4 linked regions of the Macaca fascicularis genome follow. The protein of the gene in region 2 interacts with the protein of the main gene of each other region in a pairwise test. Links are inferred from orthologs where the notes say so. Each region holds a gene or a part of one and is shown on either strand. Other genes may lie near its edges. The genes, in order: PRTFDC1, FLAD1, CDKN1A and TRIM23.

Region 1 (4,326 bases), on a different chromosome or scaffold from region 2:
AAGAGAATCACTTGAACCCAGGAGGTTGAGGTTGCAGTAAGCTGAGACTGCACCACTGCACTCCAGTCTGGGTGACAGAGCAAGACTCCATCTCAAACAAAAAAACAAACAAACAAAAAATAGGGGGTAGCTGTACCTAGCTACTCAGGAGGTTGAGGTGGGAGGATCACTTGAGCCCAGAAGTTTGAGGCTGCAGTGTGTTATGATCACACTACTGTGATCATAGAGCAAGACCCTGTCTCTTGCTCTAAAAAAGGTCTGGGTGCAGTGGCTCATGCCTGTAATCCTAGCACTTGGGGCGGCTGAGGCAGGCAGATCACTTGAGGTCAGGAGTTCAGACCATCCTGGCCAACATGGTGAAACCCTAGCTCATCTCTGCTAAAAATACAAAACATTAGCTAGGCACGGTGGCGGGCGCCTGTAGTCCCAGCTACTTGGGAAGCTGAGGCATGAGAATTGTTCGAACTCAGAGGGCAGAGGTTGCAGTGAGCTGAGATTGTGCCACTGCACTTCAGCCTGGGCGACAGAGAAAGGCTGTGTCTCAACACAAACAAACAAAAAAATGAAGGGAGAAGAGCAATTGCACGGGGGCTCATCCAGCTGCTCCTGGAAACAGCTAATGGAGGCTCAGTAAAGAGGAACTCAGAAACATGGCGAAGCACGTCTTCTTCCCTTTCTTCTCTCAGGCTAGCAGTCAAGGGCTGCTTTTCAGTGTGGTCAAACTGTAATACCCCAGGGGAAAAGGTCACTAGATTGGAATATATTATACTGTTTGGAAAGAGCATCCTGTGTTAGCATACCTTTTGGGCTTGCTTGGAAAACCAGAAATCACCATGCTATGAATGTCCAACTCACCTGGCTACCTTAACCATGTTGGGCTTGTATTTCTCTATATTGCTGAGTAGTGCTTTCATGGTCCTCCCAGTTCCGACGACATCCTTTGCAGAAAGGACAGATAAATTCAACAAAGTGCATCTGAGCAGCACAACAGACTTTTCATCCAGGGCGATACTCCTGATTAATAATGCATCGTAATTAAAAATGCCATCCAATTTGGAGCCAAAGGAGGAGGAGGAGTGGGTTATGTTTTATCTAGACAGGCACTTCCTTCTGGAAGCTGAGTTTTGGGGAATCTACCGGAGACTCTTTCCTCCTTGAATCCTTTAGCTGTGTTGAAGGGCCAAATTTAGCCTTTGGACAGCATGTGGGACTCCTCATTGAGTACATTTGGACTCGCGTATGCACATTCAAGGACTAAATTTGGCCCTGAGGTTATGTAACACAATACAAGGCACATGAATTTTCATGGATATGTACATCTGAATACACTGAATGGATAAATGCCTCCCCCTCATCCTCCCCCACTCAATAGGGCATTCTATGGCTGGGAAGTGAGAGGTGTCTGGACAGCAGCTGGTGACAGCCTGTGAATTCTGAGGGTCCACGGCTGCAGTGAGCTCGGGCTCATCTCCGCTGATGAGCTGCTGCACAATTAGAGGAGAATGGGCAGCCGCGATTTATTGTCCTAAGGACAGGAATCAGCTGTCACGAGCTGATTATCAAAACAACAGGTCTGAATGTAACCAGGCTTGGGCAATTCATTTGGTGAGAGGGTCTGCTCCATGGGTTATACTGAGCAAGAACTCCAGATACACATGGCGCACACAGGCAATTGTGTAGCAAAAGGTTGAAAATAGCTCCCCTGAATTTTTTGCTGTTTGATGAGACGAGCATGCTCCTGAAGGAAACGTGGCCATTTGCTGTATTAGTCCACTACTGCCATAGGGATCCCACGTTCTCTTTTTTAACAGAAAAACAAACGTAAAACAAAACAAAACAAAACCAAAAAAACCCAAAACCATAGCTTTCCCCATAGCTCACCATTTTTAATTGATTGTGTTTATGATTTTGATGCTGAAAGTATTTGAGAATTCTCAAAATCGTCAGAGGTCCTTAGCAAAAACACTGAATTCAGGGCAAACAGAGTTCTAACCTTGGTTTCATTGTGAAATGAATTTGGTTCGGTGAGCTAGTTTCCTCTTCTTTAAACTTGTCTGATTCACAAAGAACCATAAGAATCAACACAGAGATACGTGGAACTGGATACACAAAAAGGACAAAGTCGTCCACAAATATTGTTGCCAAGCTCTTATTCTACATTATTTGAAATCAGGGATGCTATTTGGCCCGTATTCATTAAATTTGGAGAGCATGCACCCAGTGGGAGCTCAAGAAATCCTTGGTCAATTTGATAACAAGGTGTGCAGTTTAAAACTCACCATTAGAGTCTTTCAACCTCCAAGTATGGAAAGGAAATGCCAGCTTACCTCAACAATGAGAACATTCTGAAATAAACAAAACCCGTATTTTAGAATGCGATGCCAATCTGACTCACAGGATACATACACATTTTTTTGCTTATAGTTAGAATTTCACAATTTGCTCAGACAGTCCTTCCCCATCCATCTAATTCAAAGGACTAGAGGTGATCTAGGTTTTCCAGATTCATTTTAACAGGTCCTCCGGCATTAGTTGGTGATGCAATGTTAGTATCTATATTTAGGTTAGAAACAAGCTTATGTTAGACCTGTCTGACGAGCTCTCCATAAAGTCATCCCTTCTCAGTAATTCTGCCAAGGGCCTCCCACCCCCACCTGGGAGGCAAAGCCTGTTAAGAGTTTCCCAGGAAAACAATGCAACATGAACCGCATCACTAACGGAGATTGTGCTTGGTAAATGCATCATGGGTTCAGCTGTGACAGCCTTCCTCTTGCACGACCACCAAAATCCCTGGGGACTCAGGATTTCCTCTTGGATTGCCAACCTAGATGAAGACAGTAGGCTAGAGAAAGGACTGGGAGGTGCCTGGTGTGTATTTTTAGTGAGATGGTTAGATTCCTTGCAACAAGGTCTCAAGGCATTCCTCTACCTCTTCCCTAAGCACACTGTGATATGGTTTGGATTTGTGTCCCTGCCCAAATATGCTGAAACGTAATCCTCAGCGCTAGAGGCGGGGCCTGGTGGGAGGTGACTGGATCAGGGGGGTGGGTCTCATGAATGGTTTAGCATCACGTCCCTTGGTGGTGGTGTCCTGATAGTGAGTTGCCCTGAAATCTGGTTGTTTAAAGGTGTAGGACACCTCCCCCTCTTTCTCTTGCTCCATGTCTGTCTCCAGACATGTGAAGTGCTGCTCTCCCTTTGCCTCTGCTATAATTTTTTTTTTTTTTTGAAACAGCATCCCACTCTGTCACCCAGGCTGCAGTGCAGTGGTGCGATCTCCGCTCACTGTAACCTCCGCTTCCCGGGTTCAAGCGATTCTCCCACCTCACCTTCCCACATGGCTGGGATTACAGGTGTGCACCACCACGCCTGGCTAATTTTTGTATTTTCAGTAGAGATGGAGTTTTACCATGTTGGCCAGGCTGGTCACAAACTTAGGAGCTCAAGTGATCTGCCCTTCTTGGCCTCCCAAAGTGCTGGGATTACAGGCACGAGCCGCCACACCCGGCTGCCTTCTGCCATAATTTTAAGTTTCCTGAAGCCTCCCCAGAAGCAGAACAGATGCCAGCGTCATGCTTCCTATACAGCCTGTGGAACTGAGAGCCACCTACACCTTTTCTCTTGATAAATTACCCAGTCTCAGGTATTTCTTTATATCAGTGTGAGGAAGGACTAATACACGATGATTGTACTACATTTTAATTTCTTGTTTGATATGTCTTCCCCACTATATTCTAATCGCCATGAGGTGGGGATCATGTTTGTCTCGATTCCTACCATATTGCCAGAAACTAGCATAATGCCTGCATATAAGTGCTCAATAATTATTTGTTGAATAAAGCAATAACAACTGATTAAACTTATTACTGAGTTAAAACTGACCGATTAATTGGATTAGGAGTGACATGTCAATGCTGCCCCACCAAATTAAAATATGACTGTGTTAATATGCCATCCCAATTTACTAAATGGTGAGACTATTCTTTCAATGTAATGGTGTTTTTCTTTCTTTAGATGACTTTACATTTATCTCTATGATTTATACAATACTTTAAGAATCATGACCCGGCACAGTGGCTCACGCCTGTAATCCCAGCACTTTGGGAGGCCGAGGTGGGTGGATCACCTGAGGTCAGGAGTTCGAGACCAGCCTGGCCAACTTGGTGAAACCCCGTCTCTACTAAAATATACAAAAATTAGCTGGGTGTGGTGGTAGGTGCCTGTAATCCTAGCTACTCAGGAGGCTGAGGCGGGAGAATCACTTGAACCTGGGAGGTGGAGGTTGCAGTGAACCAAGATTGCGCCACTGCACTCCAGCCTGGGTGA
Region 2 (4,904 bases):
ATTGGGCTTTTTTGCTGACCAGGTGTGGTGGCTCATGCCTGTAATCCCAGCATTTTGGGAGGCTGAGGTGGGAGGACTGCTTGAGCCTAGGAGTTCGAGACCAGCCTGGGCAACATGGTGAAACCCTGTCTCTACACAAAAATACAAAAAATTAGCTCTAGCCTGGGTGACAGTGAGATTTTGTCTCAAAAAAAAAAAAAAAAAAAAAAAAAAAGGCTAGGCAAGATGGCTTATGCCTGTAAACCCATCACTTTGGGAGGCTGAGGTGGGAGAATTGCTTGAGGCTGGGCTGTTTAACATTGTGAGAACCCCGTTTATAAAACAAACACACACAGAAAAATAAAATTTTAAAAGGCCGGGCACGGTGGCTCAAGCCTGTAATCCCAGCACTTTGGGAGGCCGAGACGGGCGGATCACGAGGTCAGGAGATCGAGACCATCCTGGCTAACACGGTGAAACCCCGTCTCTACTAAAAAAATACAAAAAGCTAGCCGGGCGAGGTGGTGGGCGCCTGTAGTCCCAGCTACTCGGGAGGCTGAGGCAGGAGAATGGCGGGAACCCGGGAGGCGGAGCTTGTAGTGAGCTGAGATCTGGCCACTGCACTCCAGCCCGGGCGACAGAGTGAGACTCCGTCTCAAAAAAAAAAAAAAAAAAAAAAAAAAAAAAAAAAAAAAAAAAGAAAAAAAGTGCCAACTTTGTAGGGTTGTTGTGAAGATTAGTAAAATCACATATATGTGATGTATAGCACACTGCCAGGCTCTAGTAGGCACTTAAAATATAAGGGTCATCACCCTGGCCAAAATGGTGAAATCCCGTCTCTACTAAAAATACAAAAATTAGACAGGCGTGGTGGCAGGTGCCTGTAATCTCAGCTACTTGGGAGGCTGAGGTGAGAGAACTGCTTGAACCTAGGAGGCAGAGGTTGCAGTGAGCAACCATTTGCACTCCAGCCTCAGCAACAGGAGCGAAACTCTGTCTCACACACATACACACACATACAAAAATAAAAATAGGGGGTCAGGGCTGGGTGCGGTGGCTCACGCCTGTAATCCCAACATTTTGGGAGGCTGAGGTGGGTGGATCACTTGAGGTCAGGAGTTCAAGACCAGCCATGGTGAAACCCTGTCCATCCCTACCAAAAATTAAAAAAAAAAAAAAAAAAAAAAGGGTCTATTAAGGCTGAGTGCAGTAGCTCATGCCTGTCATCCCAACTACTCGGGTGGCTGAGGCATGAGAACTGCTTGAACACGAGAGGTAGAGGTGCAGTCAGCTGAGATTCCACCAATGCACTCCAGCCTGGGCAACAGAGTGAGACGCTATCTTAAAAAAAAAAAAAAAAGACAAATTTACAAAGAATATTAAAAAAGATTACTATTAAAACTTGACATTTGGCCAAGCTCGGCGGTTCATGCCTATAATCCCAGCACTTTGGGAGGATGAGGTGTGGGAGGATCACTTGAGCCCAGGAGTTTGAGACCAGCCTGGGCAACACAGTGAGACCCTGTTTCTGCAAAAAAATAAAAATAAATTAGCCAGGTGTGGTAGCTAACACCTGTAGTCACAGCAACTTCAGAGGCTGAGGCAGGAGGGCTGCTTGAGCCTGGAAATGGAGGCTTCAGTGAGCTGTGACTGTGCCACTGCATTCCAGCCTAGCTGACAGAGCAAAATCCTGTCTCAAAAATAAAAAAACCCTTGTCATCCTTGAGCCATTTCCAAAAAGGCTGAGTAAAACTCTTAAATATACAATACATACACCTGTACCTCCTCTACTCAAGGGGCTTCCTGTCATTGTTGTGTAGCCCCTCTGCCCTCTACCATACTGCTTGGTAAATTGCAATGACCTTTTTATTTTTATTTTTCTTCAATCAGCTCTCAGGTTGAAAAATTGTAGGGACTTTGCTACAAGTTTTTCAGTAGAGTAATTCAAAGAATGAGGGTTAATTTTCCTTCAGTATGCTGCATCCACTCCAGGATCCTACTGCAGCAAGGAGGCTCCCACCCTGTCTCATTTCCTTCCATGGAGGGATGTGCAGCAGGCCCTTAAGGACAAGAGAACGCGGCGCCCTCCCCCCTTTTCTGTCCCAGACACACCTTAAGGATCTCATCTCCAACAATGATGATGCCAGCCGTCACGCTGCGCCCCGGGGAAAGTTCAGAGGCCCTAGATGTCATGGTCCTGCCTTCTCTGCCCCTCTGCAAGGCCCTCCAGTAGCCACCTAGACCCCCAAATAGGGGTCGCAAGCACAGGCGGCCCGCCAGGTCTACAGGGCACTGGGGGCCATAGCCTGGGAACAGGGGATCCTGGGTCGAGGGAACCTGGAGAAGCCAGAAAGGACAATGGGGGAGAGCAGGCGTGCACGTTCCTCCTTAGAGGAAGACCCTAGTCTTCTCTAACCAGATCCTTGACAAGCGACTCCTTTATTCCTGCCTCTTTAATAAACGTGTTCCCCAATCCCAACCCATGCCCTTTTTTTTTTTTTTTTTTTTTTTTTTGAGACGGAGTCTGGCTCTGTCGCCCAGGCTGGAGTGCAGTGGCCAGATCTCCGCTCACTGCAAGCTCCGCCTCCCGGGTTCGCGCAATTCTCCTGCCTCAGCCTCCCGAGCAGCTGGGACTACAGGCGCCCGCCACCTCGCCCGGCTTATTTTTTTTTTTTTTTTGTATTTTTAGTAGAGACGGGGTTTCACCGTGTTAGCCAGGATGGTCTCGATCTCCTGACCTCGTGATCCGCCCGTCTCGGCCTCCCAAAGTGCTGGGATTACAGGCTTGAGCCACCGTGCCCGGCCCCCATGCCCTTTTAAATGTCTTCTAAGCTTAACTCTAGTCTTAAAAACTCCTTCTCTCTTGAGAACCTACCGCTTTAAGTGTCTTCCGTTTGCTGAGCTGGTCTCCTCAAGTGTCTGCTCTATCTTGGACATCTGTATCCTTTTGAATGTCTCTTCGGGGCATCTGCCCCTTTAAATGTCTACGTTATCCTGGGCCTTGGCCCTTTTCAATGCATTCGCTCTCTCCACCCCGGACCAAAATCCCGTCTCTTTCTACTTCAGGCTTCTGCACCCTTTCTAGCCCTGAAATCCCTTGTCCCCACCAAGCTTCAGATTACTGAGGGCTCCTAGGCTCTCACCTGCCTGTTCTGCCCCTTCACCGGGTCTTTCCCTTGTTCCTTTCCTCATGTCCCGGGGCAGCTTCCGTACTTAAAGTCCCGCCTTATTCACACTTAGCTGACATTGAGTGGTGATTTTGGCTGTCGCTTAGACTCTTCCAGGGTCCCATTGGTGTATTCAACTGTCGCTCTCAGGTTTTAGCCAGTAGGTGAGAGCAGGGCCTGATTGTTATAAGCGACAATCACTTGGCCACCCCTCGCCCGGAAATACGGGGGCCGGACCTTAGCCCACGATCGGGGGCGGGACCTCAGGAGTTTAGGGCGCGAAAGGAGCAGTGGTTGGAGGTGAAGTAAGGTCCTAGGGGTGTTTCTGGTGCTGGATTCAAATTATTGTTATGCATATGTTGCTTTGTTTTATTTAATGAGTCAGTTAGCCATGGTTTAAGCTATTTTCATTTACTGTGACTCTAACACTAGGCTAAGGGCTTTTGGAGTGAGCAGGGATCTTACTTTGTAGCAGAAGTTGGAGGGACACGGAGAAAGATTATCACCATTGTCTGTCGGGTATGAAGACCCTGGAGTAGGTGAGCTTTTGGTGTGTGGAACCTTAACTTATCTCTAGTATAATAGACAAAACTAATTACTTAAACCTCTTTGACAAGAAAGAGTCCCAAAACCCTCTCTTCCTCCACCTTGCTCCAGATGGTGCTTAGTTCAAATGACACCTTTCCCAGTTACTGGTCTTGTAGGTGCAAACGAGGCAGCGAATAGGGAGTGCCTTACATGTTTACTCTGGATCCTCACATCATCCGAGCTTACCCCCATTTCAGTTGCCTTTGGCCCAAACGTGCATCTTAAACTTTTTTCCAGTAATAATCTGGGGATCTTCTCATATGCAGATTGATTCAGTAGGTTTGGGTGGGGCCTGAGATCTGCATTTAGCTATTTCCCATGTGATGGTGATCCCACTGCTCTGTGGACTACATTTTGAATGGTAAGGGCCTGAATTCATTCTTTTTGATTTTTGAGGCGGAGTCTCGCTCTGTCACCCAGGCTGGAGTGCAGTGGCGCGATCTCGGCTCACTGCAAGCTCCGCCTCCCGGGTTCATGCCATTTTCCTGCCTCAGCCTCCCGAGTAGCTGGGACTACAGGCGCCCGCCACCACGCACGGCTAATTTTTTTTTTTTTTTTTTTTTTTTTTGTGTGTGTATATATATATATATATATATATTTTTTTTTTTTTTAGTAGAGACGGGTTTTCAGCGTGATAGCCAGGATGATCTCGATCTCCTGATCTCGTGATCCACCCGCCTCGGCCGCCCAAAGTGCTGTAATTACAGGCGTGAGCCACCGCGCCCGGCCAAATTCATTCTTTGTAAGACTGCTAAACCACACCTTGTCCCAGCACTTTGGGAGGCCGAGGCGGGCAGATCACCTGAGGTCAGGAGTTGGAGACCAGCCTGACCAACATGGAGAAACCCCGTCTCTACTAAAAACACAAAAAATTAGCCGCGCGCGGTGGCGGGCGCCTGTAGTCCCAGCTACTCGGGAGGCTGAGGCAGAAGAATGGTGTGAACCTGGGAGGCGGAGCTTTCAGTAAGCCGAGATTGTGTCACTGCAGTCCAGCCTGGGCGACAGCGAGACTCCATCAAAAAGAAAAAAAAAAACCCTGTGAGATACATATCATGCTAATTTTACAGACGAGGAACAGCCTCAAAAAGGTGAAGGTTTGCCACACAACCGCAAAACACTGTGGATGGTAGATTCAGGTGATCAGACGTCTATACCATTCTTTCAAGTAAT
Region 3 (4,984 bases), on a different chromosome or scaffold from region 2:
GGTCACACCTGTGGTCCCAGTTACTTGGGAGGATGAAACAGGAGGACTGCTTGAGTCCAGGATGGTGCCATTGCACTCCAGCCTGGGTGAGAGTGAGACTCTGTAAGAAAGAAAGAAAGAAAGGAAGGAAGAAAGAAAAGAAAGAAAGAAAGAAAGAAAGAAAGAAAGAAAGAAAGAAAGAAAGAAAGAAAGAAAGAAAGAAAGAAAGGAAGGAAGGAAGGAAGGAAGGAAGGAAGGAAGGAAGGAAGGAAGGAAGAAAGAAAGGAAGAAAGGAAGAAAGGAAGGAAGAAAGAAAGAAAGAAAGAAAGAAAGAAAGAAAGAAAGAAAGAGAAAGAGAAAGAAAGAAAAAGAGAGAGAGAGAAAGAAAGCAAGCAAGCAAGCAAGCAAGCAAGCAAGCAAGCAAGCAGGCAGGAAAGAAAAAGAAAGAAAGGAAGAAAGGAAGAAAGGAAGGAAGAAAGAAAGAAAGAAAGAAAGAAAGAAAGAAAGGAAGGAAGGAAGGAAGGAAGGAAGGAAGGAAGAAAGAAAGGAAGAAAGGAAGAAAGGAAGGAAGAAAGAAAGAAAGAAAGAAAGAAAGAAAGAAAGAGAAAGAAAGAAAAAGAGAGAGAGAGAAAGAAAGAAAGCAAGCAAGCAAGCAAGCAGGCAGGAAAGAAAAAGAAAGAAAGAAAGAAAGAAAGAAAGAAAGAAAGAAAGAAAGAAAGAAAGAAAGAAAGAAAGAAAGAAAGAAAGAAAAGAAAGAAAGAAAGAAAGAAAGAAAGAAAGAAAGAAAGAAAGAAAGAAAGAAAGAAAGAAATAAAGAAAGAAAGAAAGAAAGAAGCACCTAGGGAGCTTTTTCAAAATATAGATTTTGAAAAATCCCTGCCTCTTGAGACCAACTTAATCCAAATTGAAGTTTCAAGCAAGTGTTTGGCACCGTTCCTCAGATGGGCACTCTTGGGGTGCCAGCCAAAGGGGGACACACTGGTGTGTTTGAAATGGACATTCTTGGTCTCAATACATCATAGGCACAAGGAGGAGGAGCCCGCCTAGGGCTTCATCAAGGAGCTGGATATTCCCTGGCTCCCGGGAGCTCAAGACAGGACTAGGATCTAGGCAGGTACCCTCTCCTCTTCTACCACCCATCCTTCTCTTATGGCTCTTATAGGCCTCTCCTCGCCCATCAAAATCTGCTCTCATGCTCATTGTCATAATAACTTTCAGCCCAAAGAAAACAGAAACGTAAACCCGTGTTTTACAAACAACTGAAAATAGCCTCCTTTATTGGCTTTGCTGCCTTAGACTTCAGCCATATTTTAATTTCCAGTAAGAGCTCAGTAAATACTGTTGAATCTAAGGAGTGCTCCTTTGAAGGGGTGGTAATGGCATAGGGGTTATTCTCGGAGTAGCCGCGGCGGTTCGCGCCGGCCAGCCCCACTCCGCGGGAAAGCCGGTGTGCTATTACCGCCAGGGCCGGGAGGGGGCGCCGGCCTCCAGGAAATCACGCGCGGGGTGGGAGGTGCGTGGGCAGAGCCTCGGACTGCGGGAGGGAGTAGTGATGAGTCAGTTTCCTGCAAGGCGCTGCTCGCCCGCCAAAACTCTGCTTCCACTCCGGCTGCGCGTCACCCTGGGGTGGGGAGGGGGAGCATGGGAGGGGACAGCGGGGGGGCGCCGCGAACACGTCACGCTGAGCCGGCCAGGCTTCCGAAACTCCCGCCGCTGTTGGGAAACCGCGCGCTCTTGTGCCGTCTCTGACACACACACACACACACACGCACACACGCGCGCGCGCGCACACACACACACGCGCCGGGAGCCGACCCCTCCACCTTATCTCCACGCCCAAAGCATGGGATGAGTCAGATCCCTGGAAAATAAAAATAGACGGGAGCAACGAAAACAAAACCGCTCGCAAGTCCTCCCAGAAACGCGACGTGGAGGGAGGGAAGGAGAGGGGAAGCTGCCTGGGCGCCCCAAGTTCCAAACCCAGCTCCAAGATGCTTTTCCGCACGAAGAGGGCGCAAGTGTCCCCCAGGGGTTCTGGACCGAGAGGATGCGCTGTGATCCGCGCCAAGTGGCGGCGCCCCAGGGGGCGACTCGCCCCCCTGCTCCGCTCAGCCCTGTCGCTTTCCGAGAGGGAATCTGGGCTAGGTCGGGGCGCCACCGAGGCAGCTGATGGAGGCCCTGAGCAGCGTCGTGCCCCCCAGAATCCCCACCCCGCAAAGACCTGACCCCTTACCACCTCCCACCCAGGCGTGGGCTCTGCTCTCGCCCCGGAGTCCAGCGCCCCGACCCGAGGGCAGGCTGGGCCGTGATTCTCCCGGCCGCGGTGGGAAAGAGTTAGAGGAGACCCTTGCCCTTCCCCGACTGACAGGCTGGTTGGAGCCCGCCCAGCGCAGAGTCGTGACTCCCCGACCCCTAGCGAAGCGGGGACCCGACGCGGTGTCCTGGACCTCCGGTGCCCTGCTTCCCTGGGAACAAGCTGTTCCAGCCAAATAGGTCACTGTGCCGATGGGAGGACGGAGACCGCGGCGGGGCAGGGGAGAGGGCTTCGGGAGTCCCATTGTACCCCTTCCCGGGCGGGGTTCTGACCTCATACAGTCCGTTCCCTGGGGTCTCCTTGTCACAGTGAGTCACCTCCTCGTTTGTCCTTAGGGGACGTGTCCTGGCACACTCCCAAGGGCCGGGAAACAGCCCGCGCTGACCTCAGTGCCCAGCCAGGTGGTGGACACAGTGGCGTAGAGGACCTGAACCTGGGACCTGGGCCAGGGCGGCGCCAGTTGGATCCGAGAGCCGCCTAGGACCGATCCTAGACGAATTTACTCCACTCCGCTTTCCTCGCCCCTCCTGGGCCCCTCCAGGGACACGGACTTCATCCCCAGGCCGCGAGCAAACTGCGCCTGGGGCCTGCAGCCAACCGCAGCCAAAGGCGAGCTCTCAGAGCAGTCCGGTCCACGCCCTCCCTCGCCCCAGCTGGGTTTCCAGGGGCGGGGATCGTGACCGGGGATCCCTGTACTGGTAATCCCGCTCTCTGCCCCGGGTCTCCGGCACATCCCGACCCCCGTCACCCGCGCACTTACAGATACCGTGTGCGCAAGCCGAGCGCGCACCGATCCACGCCCGTCATTCACCTGCCACAGAAACACCTGTGAACGCAGCGCACACCCGCGAACACGCATCCTCGCGGACACGCACGGACACACGCGGGCACGCTCGGCTCGGCTCTGGGCCGCCGGCCCGGGGTCCCCTGTTGTCTGCCGCCGCTCTCTCACCTCCTCTGAGTGCCTCGGTGCCTCGGCGAATCCGCGCCCAGCTCTGGCCCCACAAGGAACTGACTTCGGCAGCTGCTCACACCTCAGCTGGCGCAGCTCAGCGCGGCCCTGATATACCACCGCCCCGCCCGGGCCCGCCTCAAGGAGGCGGGACCCGCGCTCGGCCCACCGCGCCGCCCGGGACCGCCCTCCCCGGGGCCCAGGCTCCTGGCTGCCCAGCGCCGAGCCAGCTGAGCCTGGCCGAGTTCCAGCAGGCCAGCCGGTCCGGAACCTCGCGTGCTGCAGGAGGGCACTTCCCTCCTCCCCCAGTCCCTCGCCTGCGTTGGTGCGCTGGACATATTTCCCCACGAAGTGAGCCACAAATCTGGCTTTTTTTACTTGGAGAATGAGTTGGCACTCCCCAGGAGGACACAGCACTGTTAGAATGAGCCCCCTTTCTGGCCCACCGTTGATCCACTCTGGGGGTCGGGGAGTCCGACCTGGCAGGCAAGGATTTACCCAATGCAGCTGAAAAGATCAGGAGGATGACATTAATAAATAAAAATTCATAAATAATAAAAACGATGCACCTCTCTGCAATTTCCAGAAAAGTTCTATAATATCACCTCTATTCCCACTGATCCCTCACTAGGTCACCTCTCCCAGAAGCATCTGGAGCACCTAGACACCCCAACAAAGCATCTTGAGGCCGGAATGCTTTTCCAGTCTCGTTTATTTCACAGATGAGGAAATTGAGGTCCACTGAACTTAAGTATACAAAGTTGTTGATTGTCACATGCTTCCAGGAAGGAGGCAATTGGAGACACTACCAGAAAAGGGCAACCTGATCTCCAGGGAAACCGAAGAATTGGACATTGAACCAATCTCTGTACACCCTACACTCACCTCAACAGACGAAACCCCTGTGGTTGCAGCAGCTTTGTTGGCCAGGAAGGGGAGGATTTGACGAGTGAGTTGTCTGTCTCCTGAATACTCCCCACACAGCCCCTGTACGCTTCTGGGGAAACTGGGGCTCAGAGAAGTCTAGTGACCTAACTCAGATCATGCAGCAAAGAAATGACTATAGTTGGAACACAGGCCTTTTGCCTCCTGCCCAGGACTCTCTGCTTGTCATCCTTTATTTCTGTGGCTCCAGAATGACAAAAATGCCAAATAACCCTCATTTGCAGATGGTTTATGGAGATGACATAAATAAAGGACAACTCTGGAAGTGTCTACTGGTGCTTCTGACAGACACAGAGATGAATGACAAGTCTATCCGCTCCCATCTACCGCACACCCCTGCCCTCCCTTGGACTTCACCTTTGCCTCCTTTCTGAGCCTGAAACATTTGCAGTTTTGCTTTTAAAAAATTGCAGAGGATGGATTGTTCATCTGAACAGAAATCCCACTAAAAAACAGAACCCAGGCTTGGAGCAGCTACAATTACTTACATCTCAGGCTGCTCAGAGTCTGGAAATCTCTGCCCAGACATGCCCAGTCTTCTTCCTTTAACGCAGCTGACCTCAGGGAGGACAGGCTTCTTTCTCCTCTGCTGTGTGAATGGGAGCCCGTAGGGGTGGGAGGACACAGCAGCAGACCCCCTCGGCCTGCCTGGTCCTAGAGTCAGGCCAGGATTGTGGCTAAACCCCAGAAAGGCCACAGCACGGCCTCAGGACCCCACTCTAAGCCCCACTGCTGTCTGCACCTTCCCTCCTATACATCCAAACCATCCAAAGGGTGGGTTGTCAAATGTCCAG
Region 4 (4,326 bases), on a different chromosome or scaffold from region 2:
CCTATGTCAATTCTTCAATGGCTCGTCACTGTCCTTAAACTAAGTTCTGAACTCTTTATTAACATGGCTGACGAGATCCTGCATGATTTGGCTTTGAACTCTCCATATCCTCTTTTCTTGTCATGTCCCATTCAATATTCAAAGCTCTAACTAGTGAGCTTCTTTAAGTCTCTACAATATGTCCAATTCTCACTTCCAAACATTTTAACATATTGCTCCCTTCTTGGGACAATTCATTCCCCATTCTGCTCTTTTCCTTGACTGAATTTCTTCAAATCTCAGTTTAAACATTGTTTCTTCTCTAAAGATTTCTCTGACCTCCATAAATCATTGCCCGTTTTGTGATGCCAAAGCACCCTGTACTTCTCCTCCATAAAATAGTCACCACATTTAAAACTCTCTCTGTTCCGTGATGAATGACTTCCTTAAACACAGGGACTTTTAAAAAACTTTCCAATGACTGGTGCAATACTAGCAAATTGTAATTGCTCATTAAATACTTAGTAGAAGGTGAAAATATGAAAAATAAAAAACAAGGAGAAAGGGGAAGAAGAAAAAAAAACCATACATGTTCTGTGTGAGCCATTCCAATTCCATCTTCCACGATTTGTTCTCCTCCTTCAATGTGCTGTACAATTCCAACTAATTTTCTGGAATAATCTGAGATTTCCTCTGTGAAGGTCCGTATGCAGTGAGCCATATCTAAAATTGATGCTCGGATCTGATTAGCTTCTGGTTCCAATACTGAATGCTATAAAATGTAACATGAGAAAAGAACTCATAGTATTGACTAATAATATAGAAAAATATTTAAATCCCTGTTAATACAAAAAAGCATCAGCCACAAGTGACTTTTATAACACAGAAAAATACTATAATTTACTTTCACTCCTTTATAAGAAAACTGTACTGCAAAGAAGTAATTTAAAATTTGGAAGTACATTTATTGCTAAATAAGAAACCAAGAGACTATCTCTAAAATTATATCCTAAGTAAGAGCTAACAGACATAAATATTGTCAAACAATCTGGTGCATTATGAAAACATGCAAACAAAGAGAATGTTTGTTTCCTGCTCAAAGGCTATTTTTTTGTGAAGAATGACGCTCTTTGAAGTTTTTCTTTTTTAAATAACATTTAGAAATTAAATCTCTCATTTATTTTCATGCTACCAAACACAATCATTCATCACTTAACTCTTCTTCAATGCCTACTTTCAGAATAAAGAACCAGGTCAGTGAAAACGAATACTGAGCTGGTAAAGTAGCTACAGTGATCCAATTGATTAATAATTAAATTCATACCTTGTGACCTTGGTGTTTTCCATATTCTTTGCAGACACAGCACATGAGTGGGCTAGTTTGACAACCTTCTTCTAAGCAAACAAACTCAATGGCATGCACCTGGTGCTGAGAGCACATGGTTTTCTCATGAGGTTTATCAGCTAGAGGAACTCGCCTGTGCTTTGCTAATGTCTTTGTAGAATGAGTAACTTGAGAACACTCAGAGCACAAATGAGTTGCACACACAGTGCAATATACAGATGCAAGGTGAGCTTCATCTTCATCACAACGAATGATGCTCTGATAAACAAAAAATTAATGCCTTAAAATTGAACCCAATCAGTATAACATGACAAATTTTTAAATATAGAATCCCATAATCTTTTTAGCTTTACTGACCAATATTTACATATGAAAATATATTGGTCATTAAGCACAAAGGTCATTCAATACTCATCCGAGAAACATTCATTTCTACAGGTAAGAAGCTATTTCCAAGATTAACTGACCAATATATGTTATGAATTTGAAGCCAAAAATAAAACTATTCTCGTAGATTCATATTCGGTGCAAAGATCTCTTCCACCAAATCCCCTCACTTTACACAAAAGAAACTAAACCATAGAGAAGTCAAAAGTCTTTTTTTAAAACTACAAAAATCTGATACTAAACATAACCCCATAGCTTTAAGTATTAGTTGTCATGATGATGTACAGGAAGGACAGAAGCACAAATACTATTTAGAAAATGTAGGAATTAGCTGTAAGCTTTTAAAAACATAGTTGTCTGGACGCTAATCTGAGAAATTCTTATTTCAACAGGTTGTGGATGAACCCTAGACTTGTATATATTTTTCTAATTATACACCACATATTTTAATAGCTCCACAGGTGAGTCTATTGCACAATCATGGCAGAAAACCACTGATTTAAGCAAATAATTAAAAAAAAAAAATAGGCCAGGCTCAGTGGCTCACACCTGTAATCCCAGCACTTTAAGAAGGCTGAGGCAGGTAATCACTTGAGGCCAGGAGTAAGAGACCAGTCTGGCCAACATGGAGAAACTCTATCTCTACTAAACATCCAAAAATTGGTCAGGTGTGGTGGTGCACACCTGTAATTCCAGCTACTCAGGTAGCTGAGGCACAAGAATCACTTGAAGCCAGGAGGCAGAGACTGCAGGTAACTGAGATCACGCCACTGCACTCCAGCAAGGGTGACAGAGCAAGACTCTGTCTTAAAAAATAACAATTAATAAACAAATAAAACCTATATGTAAGCATCTAAATATTATTTCTAGTTTTCAGGAATTACAAAAAATAATTACTAAATAATTATTTTTATTTCAAGTAGATAAAATATTACATGTCAGATAATCAAGAATGCTTTGAACACTTTTACTAAACGTTAAAAGGCCATAAGTGGAAGGGGAGAAATTTAGTATAAATTTTTTCAAAAATAAAAATGTTTAAATACATCAGTGGTGTCATTCATTATCACATTAAATAAAAAACGAATCCAAAGTGGAAGAGTTTTGTTTGCAATTATAAGAAGTGTATATATGTACCATAAAAATTCAGGTCTTCTGTTTTCCAGACCTGACAAATAAATAAATTATAAATTATAAAGTCAACATTAGCTAACAGTAATGTCTTTTGAAGTAAAGATTTAGCACATGAAAGAACTGCAGAAATTTTAGAAAACAGAGTGTTGCAGTTTGAAATTAATTTCACTGATTCACTTCAGTATAAAGAAATCATCATCTAATAAAAGAGAAGCAGAAAGCAATCCGACATTTTTTTTCTTGATACAAATATGTGGTTTGCAAGTTGATCACCAAAATCATTAACTGATATTTACTCCAAATATATTTCTATCCATAATAGCCTATGAAAGCCATGTCCTATAGTACATATGTGCAGCTGTGCAAATAATACGTAAGTGCTAAAAATATACTTTTACATTATTAAAAAATCCAGTGTTCATGGATTCTAATATTTACCAGATATCTACCTGTATGGATAAAGACAGTACATCTATACAAAGTTTAACTTTTTCTTGAAGATAGAATAGTAACAATTCCCTCAGAAGCTACTGCTATCTTTAAGGCAATTTTCCCTGTATATTAAATGGCCTCTTACATGGAGTTTTACTTTCTCTCATTGAGTTTTTCTGTTGACTAATTTACTTTTGCATCCTCTGCTCCACTGTTGCTTACTTATCTTTCTTACTATGCTATAATCTTCTTCCTCTTTTCACTTTATCCTTGGTAGAACTGAATTATGATAAGGGAAAAAAAGTTCACACATAAGGCATAGTTTAGGCATCGTATTTTCAAATAATTCTAGTTCTACTTTTTTCTCTTGGGAATAGTGCTGGCCTTTAGAACTGTAATGTAATGCAAAGTTGTGTTTCTAGAAATTTACCTGCTGAATTAAATGAGGTAATATTGTGCTAATAATGGCATATATTAAAAGAAAAATTCATGCTCGTAACAAATATTTCACCAAGTATGATCAATACCTCTCCAGATATCCCAATGGATTCTTCTGCAGCTCCATATTGACCAATAGGCCCATTCTGCAGTCGTTCCAAAAGTTCCAATAAAGCAAAATTTTTTTTCAAGCCCCAGACACCTGAATCTCCTAGAATATAAAAACAAAAACTAAATCTAACAAAATGGACTATTAATCGTTTTACCCATACCTCAAAAGTAATTTCTAATCCATATAGTTCAGTCGTTAATGTCTAAATTTGAAAAATTCAAATTTTCCCCATTATTTGATACCAAAATAATTGCTTTGTTAATACTCTCTTTTAAAAAACAGAAGAATCCCTCAGGCTTCCAAGTAGAAACACACTTTAAAATTTATTATTTTTTGGCCAGGCGCATTGGCTCACGACTGTAATCCCAGCAGTTTGGGAGGCTGAGACGGGCAGATCACTTAAGGCCAGGAGTTCAAGACCAGCCCGGTCAACATGGTCAAATCCTGTCTCTACTACAAATATGAAAATTAACCAGGTGTGGCGTCAGGTGCCTGTAAA

Evidence for each region.
Region 1: the proteins of FLAD1 (region 2) and PRTFDC1 interact in binary tests that used the Homo sapiens proteins (3 or more experiments, as listed by UniProt). The two-hybrid records come from large-scale screens. The link is inferred for Macaca fascicularis from reciprocal best matches to the Homo sapiens genes FLAD1 and PRTFDC1.
Region 3: the proteins of FLAD1 (region 2) and CDKN1A interact in a two-hybrid assay, tested with the Homo sapiens proteins (2 studies listed by BioGRID and IntAct). The link is inferred for Macaca fascicularis from reciprocal best matches to the Homo sapiens genes FLAD1 and CDKN1A.
Region 4: the proteins of FLAD1 (region 2) and TRIM23 interact in binary tests that used the Homo sapiens proteins (3 or more experiments, as listed by UniProt). The two-hybrid records come from large-scale screens. The link is inferred for Macaca fascicularis from reciprocal best matches to the Homo sapiens genes FLAD1 and TRIM23.

The regions. Positions count from the first base shown.
Region 1 is NC_088383.1:25,635,018-25,639,343, forward strand, and holds part of PRTFDC1 (phosphoribosyltransferase domain-containing protein 1), read right to left. Parts: intron 2,346-4,326; coding exon 2,328-2,345; intron 939-2,327; coding exon 856-938; intron 1-855. UniProt on the Homo sapiens protein: Has low, barely detectable phosphoribosyltransferase activity (in vitro). Binds GMP, IMP and alpha-D-5-phosphoribosyl 1-pyrophosphate (PRPP). Is not expected to contribute to purine metabolism or GMP salvage.
Region 2 is NC_088375.1:106,160,666-106,165,569, forward strand, and holds the start of FLAD1 (FAD synthase), read right to left. Parts: upstream 3,182-4,904; 5' UTR 3,123-3,181; exon of another isoform or gene 2,855-3,122; intron 2,317-2,854; 5' UTR 2,173-2,316; coding exon 2,092-2,172; intron 1-2,091. UniProt on the Homo sapiens protein: Catalyzes the adenylation of flavin mononucleotide (FMN) to form flavin adenine dinucleotide (FAD) coenzyme.
Region 3 is NC_088378.1:134,986,428-134,991,411, forward strand, and holds the start of CDKN1A (cyclin-dependent kinase inhibitor 1), read right to left. Parts: upstream 3,331-4,984; 5' UTR 3,105-3,330; exon of another isoform or gene 3,054-3,104; intron 1-3,053. UniProt on the Homo sapiens protein: Plays an important role in controlling cell cycle progression and DNA damage-induced G2 arrest. Involved in p53/TP53 mediated inhibition of cellular proliferation in response to DNA damage.
Region 4 is NC_088380.1:71,308,008-71,312,333, forward strand, and holds part of TRIM23 (E3 ubiquitin-protein ligase TRIM23), read right to left. Parts: intron 3,927-4,326; coding exon 3,805-3,926; intron 1,583-3,804; coding exon 1,304-1,582; intron 752-1,303; coding exon 569-751; intron 1-568.